Danio rerio: one gene and its partners. The protein of the gene in region 1 purifies or fractionates together with the protein of each later gene. This does not show direct contact. Links are inferred from orthologs where the notes say so. Each region holds a gene or a part of one and is shown in the gene's direction. Other genes may lie near its edges. The genes, in order: mtx2, chchd6a and immt.

Region 1 (4,044 bases):
AGGGGATTTAAGTGACTTTGAATGTGGCATGATTGTTGGTGTCAGATGGGCATACCTGAGTATTTCAGAAACTGCTGATCTACCTGGATTTTCATGCACAACCATCTCTAGGGTTTACAGAGAATGGTCCCAAAAAGAGAAAGTATCCAGTGAGTGGCAGTTCTGTGGGCGGAAATGCCTTATTGATGCCAGGGGTCAGAGGAAAATGGCCAGACTGGTTCGAGGTGATAAAAAGGCAACAGTAACTCAAATAACCACTTGTTACAACTGAGATATGCAGAAGAGCATCTCTGAACGCACAACACATCCAACTTTGAGGCAGATGGGCTACAGCAGCAGAAGACCACACCGGGTGCCACTCCTGTCAGCTAAGAACAGGGAACTAGGACTACAATTTGTACAGGCTCACCAAAATTGGACAATAGATGATCGGAAAAACATTGCCTGGGATATTTTCTCTGCACACTTTGGACCCATTTGGACTAATTGAGCATCGTGTCAATGCTTGTTTGCAAAAGATTTTTTGTTCCTTTTAACAAAAAAAATTTTTTTGTATCGTTTACTTCGTGTATCTTTTTGGCCATCTGTTTATTTTATTAAAAACAGTGATCTTTTATTATCTGGTTAAATGTTAAAGCTTGTATGTTTTATATCGTCTCTTATTTTCCTTCATTAGGGAAGGTTCCTTTCATCCAAGTTGGAAATCAGGTCGTGTCCGAATTGGGGCCGATTGTTCAGTTCACAAAGGCAAAGGTAACGGCATCCCTCAGCTTCATATGAATATGGGAATGTTTGGCTGTTGGCTGACGTTATGCTGTCCACAGGGTCATTCTCTGAGTGACGGGCTGGATGATGTCCAGAGGGCAGAGATGAAGGCTTACATGGAGTTGGTCAATAACATGCTTCTGACCGCGGAGGTACAGACCTGCTGCAAACATCAATTTGGTTAAAAAGTTGGCTTGAATTTATTTTAAAATGATATTTATTTCCGCAACCACAAAGCTGAACTATTCTGAAGGCTGTTTTGGTGCTTTTCATTTTTTTTTTGTGGATACTTAAGGAAATGGTTCATCCAAAAAATCCACTTGTTTCAAACTTTTTTGAGTTTCTTTCTTCTGTTGAACACAAAAAATATATTTTTGTATTGGTTTTTCCTACTATGGATGTCAACAGTTAACTTTGCATATTTAAAATATCTTTTGTGTTGAAAAGAAAAAAGAAGGTGACACGGTGGCTTAGTGGTTAGCACAGTCGCCTCACAGTAAGAATTTCGCTGGTTCAAGCCCTGGCTGGGTCAGTTGGTGTTTCTGTATGGAGTTTGCATGTTCTCCCTGTGTTGGCGTGGGTTTCCTCCGGGTGCTCCGGTTTCTCCCACAGTCCAAAGACATGCGCTATAGGTGAACTGAAGAAGCTAAACTGGCCTTAGTGTATGTGTGTGTGAATGCAAGAGTGTATCTGATCTGATTAAAGCTCTTGTTTTAACAACATGCCAGTCAGAGACATTCCATCATATACAGTGCTCAACATAAACGAGTACACCCCATTTTCAAAACGAACATTTTATCTATTTCTTAGTGAATATAGGTCATATATTTTGATGCATTTGAACAAAACCGATTTATTAAATCGATTTATTAATTAAAATAATAGTTTAATCACTGAACATTTTTAGAAACGTTTAGAAAGACTATACATTTAAATTATGCAATATATATATATATATATTTTTTTTTTTTAAATGGCAAACTACAAAATTTCATAATTCTTTTGTTGCTCTTGAATTTTTCTCTTTTAAAATTATTTAATATTTTCCCCTAGCATATACATTTGGGTGTACTAATTTTGGACCATTATCATCAAGTTATTTTGTTGGATTTATCAGAATCAGAATCTTTATTGTCATAGTACAAAATACAACGAGAATTACGTTTGCCCATCCCTTCAGTGCATTCCTAATGGTCTAAAACAACAACAATAATAACAAGAAGAGATAAAAAAAGAAGTATAAAGACAACAACAATAATTATAATACTTGCATGCATGGAAAGTGGCAAGTGGATTTTTAGCAGCTTTCAAGTTAAAAAGTATGTAAAATGTTGGCCAGAAAGCCATCAAATTTAATGTCCGTTCATTATTTTCACAGCCCCGAGATATGTACTATTTCAGTCTGTTTGTTTGGACTTTTATGCTCCTGTCCCGCCTCCCCCTAGGTAACAGTTGAAATAAGGGGTGCGCTGGATGCGATGAGTCCTTCAGGATGCTGCATGCTTTGCTGTAGCACCAGGCTTTGAACAACTCTAATTAGCTTCAGATTTGGCTTCAGTATTGACTAATCTAATGTATATGCACGAATATAATATTATAAAGCTTCTTATTTAAAATATTAATTTAAATGAGAGATTTGTGAGGGGTGTACTCGTATATGCACTACATAAAAATGCAATGAAAGGCTCTGATATAATGTTTTAAATAAATTGTTAATAATTTAATAAATGTTTTAAATAAATGCCTGCTTAAAAATGTAGCTTGTGAACCTTTTTCAATGACACCTTTTCTCATTTCTATGTATTTTATCTTTCCCATAACCATTTTATGGGAAAACAGTTTCACTGCGGTAAACAGTGCAGCCCAATGAATCTTTGCCTCTTCTTTGTAGTTATACATCCAGTGGTGTGACGACTTTACTGCTACAGAGGTATGATTCATGATTCATGTACAAGAATGTCCACAAAACAAGTATAATGCATGTCTTGGTCAAAATAATAAAATTACACTGCAAAAAAACGATTTTTTATCCTTTTTCTAGTCCACATATCATTTTTCTTACCCCACTGGCAGATTATTTAGCTTGTTTTTCTCGTATATTAAAATGGTTTATTGTTTTAATGCATATAATTTCTTAAAGCATGACAATATTTTTTTTTATTTGTTGATAAAAAGCTTCTTGATTTAAGAATTTTAAAGACGTCTGGACTAGAAACCAGATAAAATCGAAGCAATTTTTGCAGTGTGATCTCTTTAGTATTGTTAATATGGTATGTATTATGTTCAGATCTCCAGGCCTCGATACAGCAGCCCCTACTCTTGGCCCCTCAATCACATTCTGGCCTATCAGAAGCAGTGGGAGGTGCGCAGGAAGATGAACGCCATTGGATGGTCTGGAAAGAGCCTGGAGCAGGTATTTGAAACACAAATGAAGTGCAAGTCATTCACTCGCAGTTTGTGCGTTTTCCTTTTTTCCTAAATCTTTTTTTCCTTTCTTGATTTTAGGTGTATGAAGATGTGAGCCAGTGTTGTCAGGCCTTGTCACAGCGATTAGGAACACAGCCCTACTTTTTCAACAAACAGTATGTTTCGAGCACATATAAGTAATATTCAAATGTTTTATTTTAAATTTATAGTTTGATTGAACAAGGATGCATTAAGGGGATAGTTACCCCTTGTGTATTGTTCAAACTGACTACCTTTCTGTTATGTTGGAGGCTGTTTTTGCCCCATTGACTTCCATTATAACAACATTTTTTGATTGTAAAGCCTTGACACTATGCATTCTTGATTGTTGTTGATTTTCCCTGTTGAGAAGAGGTAACACATGTTTTAGATAGGCCTGTGAAAAAAAAGTTTCTGGCTTTTATATGGATTTTTATGAAGTGTAAGAGCAAATTATAGTGTGTGTGTGTGTGTGTGTGTGTGTGCGTGCGTGTGTGCGTGTGTGTGTATGAATACACTTAGTGTGGTTACTATGCTCTGAGAGCTGAGGTGCTTATTTTAATTTTCTCAGACATATCAAGGTAAGTGCACAAAGGTCTCTCTCACACACACACACACACACACACACACACACACACACACACACACACACACACACACACACACACACACAAACACACAAACACACTATTCTTCATATAAAAGCCAGACACTATAGAAAAATGTATGCAATATATATAAAAACAAAAATTTGCTATTAATTAGCTTTTTTTCAGTTTACCAGAAAGAATATTTTTAATTGAAACTTTACTTTATGTACAAAAAAATCAGGCA
Region 2 (4,679 bases), on another chromosome or scaffold:
TTGTCATCCTGGGGTGAGTCGTACATTATTTTTGGTTAAACAGCGGTTTTGGTGGCCAGCTATGGCACGGGACATACGCGAGTTTGTTTTGGCCTGTTCTGTTTGTGCTGTTTCTAAGACTTCTAATCGCCCCCCTGCTGGACTCCTTCAGCCGCTGTCAGTGCCTTCGAGACCCTGGTCGCACATTTCGCTAGATTTCGTCACTGGTCTCCCGCCATCTGGTGGCAATACGGCTGTTTTGACCGTTGTGGACCGGTTCTCGAAGGCTACTCATTTCATTCCTCTGCCCAAATTACCCTCAGCCAGAGAGACAGCGGATGCTGTCATTAATCACGTCTTTCGCATTCATGGCCTCCCGACGGACGTGGTTTCTGACAGGGGACCCCAGTTTGTCTCTAAATTTTGGAGAGAATTCTGTCATTTATTGGGAGCGACTGTAAGCCTTTCTTCTGGTTTCCATCCTCAGAGTAATGGACAAACAGAGAGGGCCAATCAAGATCTCGAGCGTATGTTACGTTGTTTGGTTTCCCAAAATCCCGCCTCTTGGAGTCAGCAGCTCCCATGGGTGGAGTACGCACACAATTCATTACCAGTGTCGGCTACGGGCCTCTCTCCGTTTCAGTGTAGTTTAGGATACCAGCCACCAGCTTTTCCCAGTCTGGAATCCGAAATCGCGGTCTCCTCTGCCCACGCCTTTGTCCAGAGGTGCCGACGCACTTGGAGCAGAGCCAGACAGACCCTCCTCCAAGTGGGTGCGCGCACCAAGGCTAAAGCCGATCGCCACCGGTCGAAGCCTCCCGTTTACGTCGTTGGTCAAAAAGTGTGGCTTTCAACTAAGAATATTCCCTTGCGTTCCGTATGTAATAAACTTGCACCTAAATTTATTGGCCCATTCACTGTCATCAAGATCATTAGTCCGGTGGCAGTCTGCCTCAAACTTCCTCCAGCGTACAGGAGAATACATCCCGTGTTTCATGTTTCCAAATTAAAGCCCGTTTTTCATACGGCCATTAACCCGCCCACTCCGGTTCCCCCCCCCGCCGCGTCTCGTAGATGGGGAGACTGTTTATTCGGTTAAGCGCATTCTGGACTCGAGACGGAGGGGACGAGGATTTCAGTACTTGGTGGACTGGGAAGGTTATGGTGCGGAGGAGAGGAGTTGGGTTCCTGCAAAGGACATATTGGATCACTCTCTTATCGATGATTACAATCGCCAAGTAAGCTCTTCTGGAAGCACCAGGAGGTGCTCGTAGGAGAGGAGGTAATGTCACGGTTGCAGGTTTGTGCGCTTCTCCGGAGTGTATGTTGATCACGTGGGTTTGTTTTGTTTTGGTTGTCCATGTGGATTTGTTAGGCTCACGTGTTATGACGTCATTCAGTTGGTCTGATTAGTTCGCCAGCTGAGGCTCATCATGGTGCCTATATCTGGGCGACGCTTTTGTGTGTCTGTGTCAGTTCGTTGTTATCACTCATGTTTGTGTGTCTGTGCTCAGGCCCTGCGGAGTAATCTGGATCTGGTTTTCCCCGTTCTGTTTCCTGCCCTGCGTCCTGCGTCCGTCTAGCCTGACACTATTTGTATTTGTCTTCACAATAAACTTGTACACTTGCTATTGGATCTTCTCTGACTCTCACTGAAACGTAACAGAAATAACGCAACATAAACAACAGAGGTTGAGAAAAAGGTTACTTTTCAATGGAGATTTCCGACGGCACTTAGAGGTTTTTGACTTGGTTAAGTGTTTTATGTTATTTTAAAAATCTTTTATTGCAATTCCAACATGAATGTACTTTACAAATAGACTTAAAGATTAAAACCATTTGAATGTCTGTGAATAATGAGGAACTTTATATTTTTAATTAGCTGCATATTTAATGTTTTAAACGTAGTAATGTGTTAGTAATGCGTGTAACTATATTTTAAACATAATATTTGAATGTGACATTTTCATATTGTTGTCTTATAGCTGCGTTTATTAGAAATAAAAACTTGTTGTGATAGCTTTCTAAATGTACAGTATGTTTTTAGGATAATAATGTTTGAAAATAATAATTGTTTATGTAGAAAAAGGTATTACAAAAGTTTCATTTCTAATAAGTCCGTACATAAGACAACAATACGAAGCAAAACTCATATATTACATTTCATGTTTTAAAGTAATTTATTATCTTTTTTTTTTGCAATTCTAACAAAAATATACTTTACAAATAGATTTTGTGATACAAAAAGTTGCTGTACTAAAGAAAGAAAAAACTAAATGCAAGATGAAATATAATCCAAATCCAACAGGAGAGATGATACACAATAAAGCATATTAATAGCGAATATTAAACGTGGTACAATTTATAGATAGATTTTAATCATTTCCTTGTAGATAAGTAAATTGTTTAAATAGAAGTTCAGTTTATGTTTATATAACTAGGACCACAATAGTGATCTGATTTTGTAATTAATGAATGTTTGTATGGAGAAACAAATAGATTAAAAACATTTTGCCATTTAATTGGATCAATAATCATAAATTGGATTATTAATTCAACCAATTTGCTTGAAAACCATCTCAACATTCTTAAAATTCTTTATTAAAGTTTGTAAATCTTCAGCAATACTGCACAAATAACCTGTAAAACTTCATAAATGATACATGACAAAAAGGAAGATGCATTTTTTTTCACTATATCCATGATTGTTTATCTGTCTGTCGACAAATCATAACATTAATGCTTTAAAATATGTGTTAATTAATTTAGCATATGTACAGTTGAAGTCAGAATTATTAAACCCCCTGAATTATTAGCCCCACCTGTTTATTTTTTCCCCAGTTTCTGTTTAACGCAGGGCAGATTTCTAAACATAATAGTTTTAATATCTCATTTTAAATAACTGATTTATTTTATCTTTGCCTTGATGACAGTAAATAATATTTGACTAGATATTTTTCAAGACACTTCTATACAGCTTAAAGTGACATTTAAAGGCTTAACTAGGTTAATTAGGTTAACTAGACAGGTTAAGGTAATTAGAGAAGATATTGTATAATGATGGTTTGTTCTGTAGACTATCAAAACTATATAGCTTAAAGGGACTAATAGAATAGACATTAGAATAGTTTTTAACAAATTAATAACTGCTTTTATTCTAGCCGAAATAAAACAAATAAGACTTTCTCCAGAAGAATAAATGTTATCAGACATACTGTGAAACTTTCCTTGCTCTGTTAAACATCATTTGGGAAATATTTAAAAAAGAAAAAAAGTTCAAAGGGGGCTAATAATTCTGACTTCAACTGTATATTTATCAGTCACTTTCTACATTTGTGTACTCAGCTGTCTGAAGACGTCTTACAACGCATGAGGAACACCAACGCTGATCCAAGACCACCTGCCAACAATAAAGAAAACCAAGGTATGACATTATTATCGCCTCTCCATCCATAATTGTTTGCTGCTCATATTCACTCTGAACTATTAGACAAGATTTTTAGAATGAAAAAAACTTTCACCAGGTCACATTTTAAGCTAAATCAAATATTCAATTGAAAATTATAATTATCTTTTAGTATACAGTTTTTGTGAATGTTTTTATTTATTTCTATTGATATATTTGTATATCATCTCTTATTGAAATGTAAGTTGTTCTTATCATGTAATGTTTTTATATATTGATCTTGCCATGAAATGGCCATAAGTTGCTGATGTGGCAATAAACAAACATATTCACTTTTTCCCTTATGATATGTAAAATCATTAGTTTGTAATGCAAGTTAATAATTTTTTACATTTAATTTAATCCTGCAGGCCATCAAACTCGAACACCCAGCACATCAGACGCACAAGCTCCAAAAACACAGGCCAAAACGACGTTTCCCGACTCTAAAGAGGAGCTCAAAAAGAGGTACTTCAGTACAGATGTCTAAATCTAAATATTAAACAAAGTTTAATTATTGATACATAATCGGATTTAAATAATATGATAAAATGCAATCATATTACAAATGTGATATTGAAATTCATAACATTAGTATTAAAAAGTAAGTTTACATTAAGGAATACATCTAAATATTATATATACACGTCACCTTAAATGTATTTATTTATTTTTTATTTTGTTGATAACTGACCAACAAAAAATACTTAAAAAGAAAAAAAAAAAAACTAATTATACCAAATTCAATTTGTTACAAAAGAGCATTTTTCCCAACAAAATGAGGCTATATGAAGTGCTAAAAATTGTTTCAATGTTTCCTGTTGCTATTTTGGGGTTTTCATCTATTTTATTTTAGTCTTATCAGGCAACAATCCAAAGTAATCTAAAATTTCACTTTGTGAGTCGTTATTCTAAAGAGATTGTTGCTGTTGTTGTAGCTACTAAATCATATTAACAGGAACAGAAATGAACTGATTCAGATGCGCGTTCAAACTGAAGCGTTCAAAAACGTGCTATAGACTACCATAAAAGGCACTATTTCTACATATAGTTTTGCCACGTTAAAGGGCTCCACAAACTATTAAAATAAAGTCTGTTGTTGCACAAACATGTGAGCATTTTAGTGATTTTTATACATGCAACATCTATTGTAGATAAACCATTAATGATGATACTACCGTTTGTGGCACAGTTTTTTTTAGCCGTAGTGTCACGATACTACCATAGTACTGGTATACTGTGCAACCCTAGTAGG
Region 3 (4,679 bases), on another chromosome or scaffold:
GCTTTCCGCATTTGCTGCTTGTCTCCTTTTAAAAAAGACGCAGCTCCAGTTGGTGTTGATTCATCTGTCTTTTTATTTTTTATTTTTTTATTCAAATGGCAAAGTTAATTCGTATCGTCAGCAGTACTCTTTCAGTGTTTAAAGACAGACCTTAGTCAAAATCATTTCGAAGCTTACAGTACATTAATATCACTACAATATTATGGACTGAAAGATCTGCTGTAAATGCTGTTCTCTGTAAACATGTAAACATTAAAGACCGTCATGTTAATTTCGATGCATTTTGTGACAGGATAGTCTACACACAAACGGCTTTCTGACGACGTGCGGTATCAAACATTCAACAGTCATTAAACAAAGTCTCTGTCTTTCTCCTCTGCATCTGTGTGTTTCTTTTGCCTCAGTGAAAATCAGCGTGTGCGTAAATGAAAAATCCCATTTTTATTCAAATCCTTCCATCTTTCCCTGCCCCGTCACTCCCACCTATACCGCGCTAGACACACCCACTTTCCTGACTTTTTCCAAACTAGAGATGTGAAAACACGCTGTTGAAACGGGGGTTTCATGGCCCTTTAAAATCACTTTAATTCTTAAAGAAGACACAAATAATATGCATTCTGTAATTAGATTTAGCTATGCAACTATGTGAGCATATTATTATTATTATATAACTGATTTTAATGACAGAATCAATGATGTTGGCTAATTTCGTATTTTTATTGAATTAGGAGACTGTCAAACCACTGCAAATCTCTTCATTGTCAGAAGCAACTAAAGACTCCAAACAGCCTAAAGCTAAAGCCAAGAAGTCTGATCCAGCACCTCCACCTTCTGTAGAGGAAGCTCCAGCACCAGCGCCAGCACTTCAGTCACTGGAGGGTAAGTGGGACTTGTACCTTTCTCAAGGCTAATTTATACTTTTGCCCAGTGCCACGTCGCAAACCTCTTTTGAATGCGCACGCACCTCACGAAACGTACATGCCTTTTATACTTATATAGAAGCCCACCGTGAAGTCAGACAGATAAACAGAGAAGTAGAAAGTTTCCCGAACCACGTCATATCATTAACATAGTTCAACATTTTTAAATTTGTTAGTTTTATTATTTTTTATAATTTATGTTAATGATTATAAAGATTTTTAAAATCATTCAAGATTTTTTAAATCATTATTTGACACATCACTTGCTTTTGTTTATATCTCGGACAGTTCTACCTATTAAAGGTAAATATCAATGACAACAGAACATGGGTTGCTCTACAAATATATTTTTTGTTATGGCATAAATAAAGGCCAAAAAGAAGTACATTTACTAAAAAATACTGACATTTTTAATAGAATAAGTCCACTTCACAATTCACACATTATTGTTACTGTCTGGCTAGTTTGTGTCCTCTGCTTTTATACTAAAAAGGCAACACTGGTCCAATATTACCTTTTAATCATTAACTTCACTTTTGCCATGGTCTTTTTTGGCTGTAACAAATGTATCTCTCAGGTTTTTCCAAACTTTTCTCCTTTCTCATGGCTGTTGCAATTTCTAGCTAAGAATTATTGACCATTGGGTTATCCCTAATGATCATACAAGGACAGATCCTAAAGATGTCTGTACAGTCGTACCTGCTTTAGACAAATCTCTTCAAAGTGATTCATATTCAACCCAAATGAAATGTGGCGCTGCTTGAACTGTTCGCTCGAGTCTCAAAAAATTATGTCGCTCACACGCAAAGCGAAACTTTGCAAACACAGTGATGATGTCACATTTGCTGTGCGCAGTAGCGAACGCGTTGGTTATAAACCAGGCTTCAGAACTTTCAGATGTGCAGCAGTTACTCCCTAAAGGCCCTGGTATGCTTAAACAAAATCAATAAAAGTATTGAAATGGCATAATTTCGAACAAAATCAGGCCAAAACGATGTTCGATTTGAGTTTGATTCCGCAGTTCGAAACAGCTCACCAAAGCCAACTTTTTGGGGGTGTTTGTTCTGGCTCCTAAACATCTTTGAGCTAACATTGGTCTGTGATGATTATGCAATTGGTGGGTGTGTCTTGAAACTCCACCTACTTTGACATGCTTCATATTCACAGAGTTCAGAGTCAGACAGGAGAAAAACAGCTAACACAACAACGCTTAGGACCCTATCATACACACGCCGCAACAAGGCGCAAGATGTGTTTGGCGTGATTTGTTGCTGATGAATTCTTGCACGTGACTCTTGCAATTTTCAACTGGGTGCCTCTGGGAAATGCTCATGCGCTCCCAATTTTCTTGTGCGCAAGGACGCGATATGTATAACAGCCCCATAAGCAGGTACTCTTCTCTTTACATTCAGAATATAACTTTACTCTCAATGCTGCACACAAAAAAATAATTTTGCCTGTTTTGGCTTAGTTGGGCAACCATGTTTTTGGGTGCAGGTGTTCTCCTTGGTGACGAGTATTGTCATAGAATGATTTCTGTTCAAATGCTTGCACAAGTTGCTGATCGAGTTAAAAGCAGTCGAAAGTTATTTAGAGACTGGACATAGACTGCATTTTACAGCAATAATTTTTTTTAAGCTCAATAAAATCAAAGTAATGTCTGTATTTCCTCTTGAGGAAGCAGCCACTCTCAACAGCAACCATTTCAGCTCGTGTATAAGGAAAATATAGCATTATGGATTGTTCACATATTGCAAAAAATTGCTTTATACACAAGTAACATATTTAAATGTTGCTTTTTACACAAGTAAGTATTTTGGTCAACTAAGGGAAAATGAATTACACATATCAGGCCAATGGGAGTATAACTAGATATCTATGAATACAGTATGAGTCACATGACGAAATATATTCTGTCATTTGCAGTTTTCAGATGAAATTATAATTTTATGTGTATCCACATAGGATAGCGCCATTAAAAGCTTTAAAAATGTCCTTTGGGATTTCTTATGTATGTAAAATAATGCATATGTTTCTAATCCTGAGCTTGTCAGGATGCCATTATGTAAGGAATGAGTGTTTTATTTGGTTGGTATTCCTGGAAGCAGTGTGTGGCCATTTTGCATTAAGGCCTGGTTAGATCAAAATGAAACCGAAAGCACCCAGGCACTGAGAGTGCTTTGGATTCAAGATCATGTGTTGATATAAGTGTATACAATTACGATTATAATAAATGATGGTGTACTTTTAGTATTATAATAAGATGTTTCTGTGTATATCTGTAGTGTATATTTTGGTGTCACTTTGTTTTGCTTGCAACATGGACAGTTGTCTATTTCCTTGCAGAGACTTAACACAATATCTCACGTCTTATTGATCATGGATTTATTTTCTCCAAACAAGGATACAAATACAACAGTTCTTGGTCTTTATTGTAGTTTGTAAGACTGACAATAGTACTGATGCTATAGTTTATTTGTACACTGAAGTGTGTTTTTCATGTACAGTACGTGAGCATAATGGTTGAATTATGGCTGGGTGTATCCATCTTTGTCGTTTAATTATTTGTTTATGGAATGAGAGATTTATGGGAATAACCAAGTCAGAGGAACCAAAACAAAAAAACTAGCTGTGCACTCATACTCGTACTGTATAAGAGATTGGTAAACTCGGTCCTGGAGGGTCTGTGTCCTGCAAAGGTTTGCTCCAACACTAATCAAACACACCTGCACATGCTAATCAGTGTATTCAAGATAACTAGAAAGCTATAAGCAGGTGTGTTTGATTAGGGTTGGATCTAAACTCCACAGGACACCAGCACTCCAGGAACGAGTTTGCCCATCCCTGCTAGTAAATTTAATAATGAGTTTTAAATTAAAGGGTTAGTTCACCCAAAAATTCTGTAATTAATTACCCTCATGCTGTTCCAAACCCTTGAGACCTACGCTCATCCTCACAACAAAGACATTGTACATGAAATCCGAGAGCTTCCACATTCTCCACAGACTTAAACCTTGACATGACATGTTTAAACTCTAGAAAAGGATCAAAATGCATCATCAAAACATTTGACTTGATAAGAAACTATAAGTAGCTGTGTGACGATAACCGCATCACTGCATTACTGCCATAATGAGACCTTAACCGCAGTGATGTGGTTATTACCGTTGAAGTTGGATTACCAAACTAAAATACTAACTGATGCTTTTTAAAACCGACATGGGCTGTTTCTTCATAATTTTTTTTGTTCCGTCAAATGAATAAAGCAGGCCTAACTTAAATCAACCACTTCATGAAAAATGAGAATTTTTAATGCATCGCTCTTATTGCTATATCACAAAGCTCTATCAACATTTTTGATACAAGTCATTATTTTAAAGATTATGAACTGAGAATATGATTTTACCTCAGATTTTACCTTAATTTTTCCATCTCATTCGCGGTGAGTTCAGGTGACGGAGTATTTTGAATTAGTCAAACTATCCTAAATTAATGTAGCCTGTATATCAGTATATCAATATAGGCTTTGCGTAAAGGCTGGTGAAATGTATTTTTTTTCATTACAGAAGCTATAAACCATTGGATGAGAGACAGCAAATTGCATATATGTTGATGTATTTAAAGTAGGCTATAGGCTATATAACATAATAATTTTGTATAAATAAGTTTACACAAAATGTAGCCTATATATATCACAGTTGTTTGTGATGCAACAGTTACAGTTAATTACATCCTTATTTCCTGTGGAGCAAAAGAAAC

The links.
Region 2: the proteins of mtx2 (region 1) and chchd6a purify together in Homo sapiens (co-immunoprecipitation; 3 studies listed by BioGRID and IntAct, counting the BioPlex papers as one, with this or other methods). This does not show direct contact. The link is inferred for Danio rerio from reciprocal best matches to the Homo sapiens genes MTX2 and CHCHD6.
Region 3: the proteins of mtx2 (region 1) and immt purify together in Homo sapiens (co-immunoprecipitation; 5 studies listed by BioGRID and IntAct, counting the BioPlex papers as one, with this or other methods). This does not show direct contact. The link is inferred for Danio rerio from reciprocal best matches to the Homo sapiens genes MTX2 and IMMT.

Annotation. Positions count from the first base shown.
Region 1 is NC_133181.1:11,832,572-11,836,615, forward strand, and holds part of mtx2 (metaxin-2), read left to right. Parts: intron 1-676; coding exon 677-753; intron 754-824; coding exon 825-917; intron 918-2,656; coding exon 2,657-2,695; intron 2,696-3,052; coding exon 3,053-3,178; intron 3,179-3,270; coding exon 3,271-3,347; intron 3,348-4,044. UniProt on the Homo sapiens protein: Involved in transport of proteins into the mitochondrion.
Region 2 is NC_133198.1:37,032,651-37,037,329, forward strand, and holds part of chchd6a (MICOS complex subunit mic25a), read left to right. Parts: intron 1-3,324; coding exon 3,325-3,403; intron 3,404-3,795; coding exon 3,796-3,892; intron 3,893-4,679. UniProt on the Homo sapiens protein: Component of the MICOS complex, a large protein complex of the mitochondrial inner membrane that plays crucial roles in the maintenance of crista junctions, inner membrane architecture, and formation of contact sites to the outer membrane.
Region 3 is NC_133189.1:18,393,863-18,398,541, forward strand, and holds part of immt (MICOS complex subunit MIC60), read left to right. Parts: intron 1-728; coding exon 729-879; intron 880-4,679. UniProt on the Homo sapiens protein: Component of the MICOS complex, a large protein complex of the mitochondrial inner membrane that plays crucial roles in the maintenance of crista junctions, inner membrane architecture, and formation of contact sites to the outer membrane.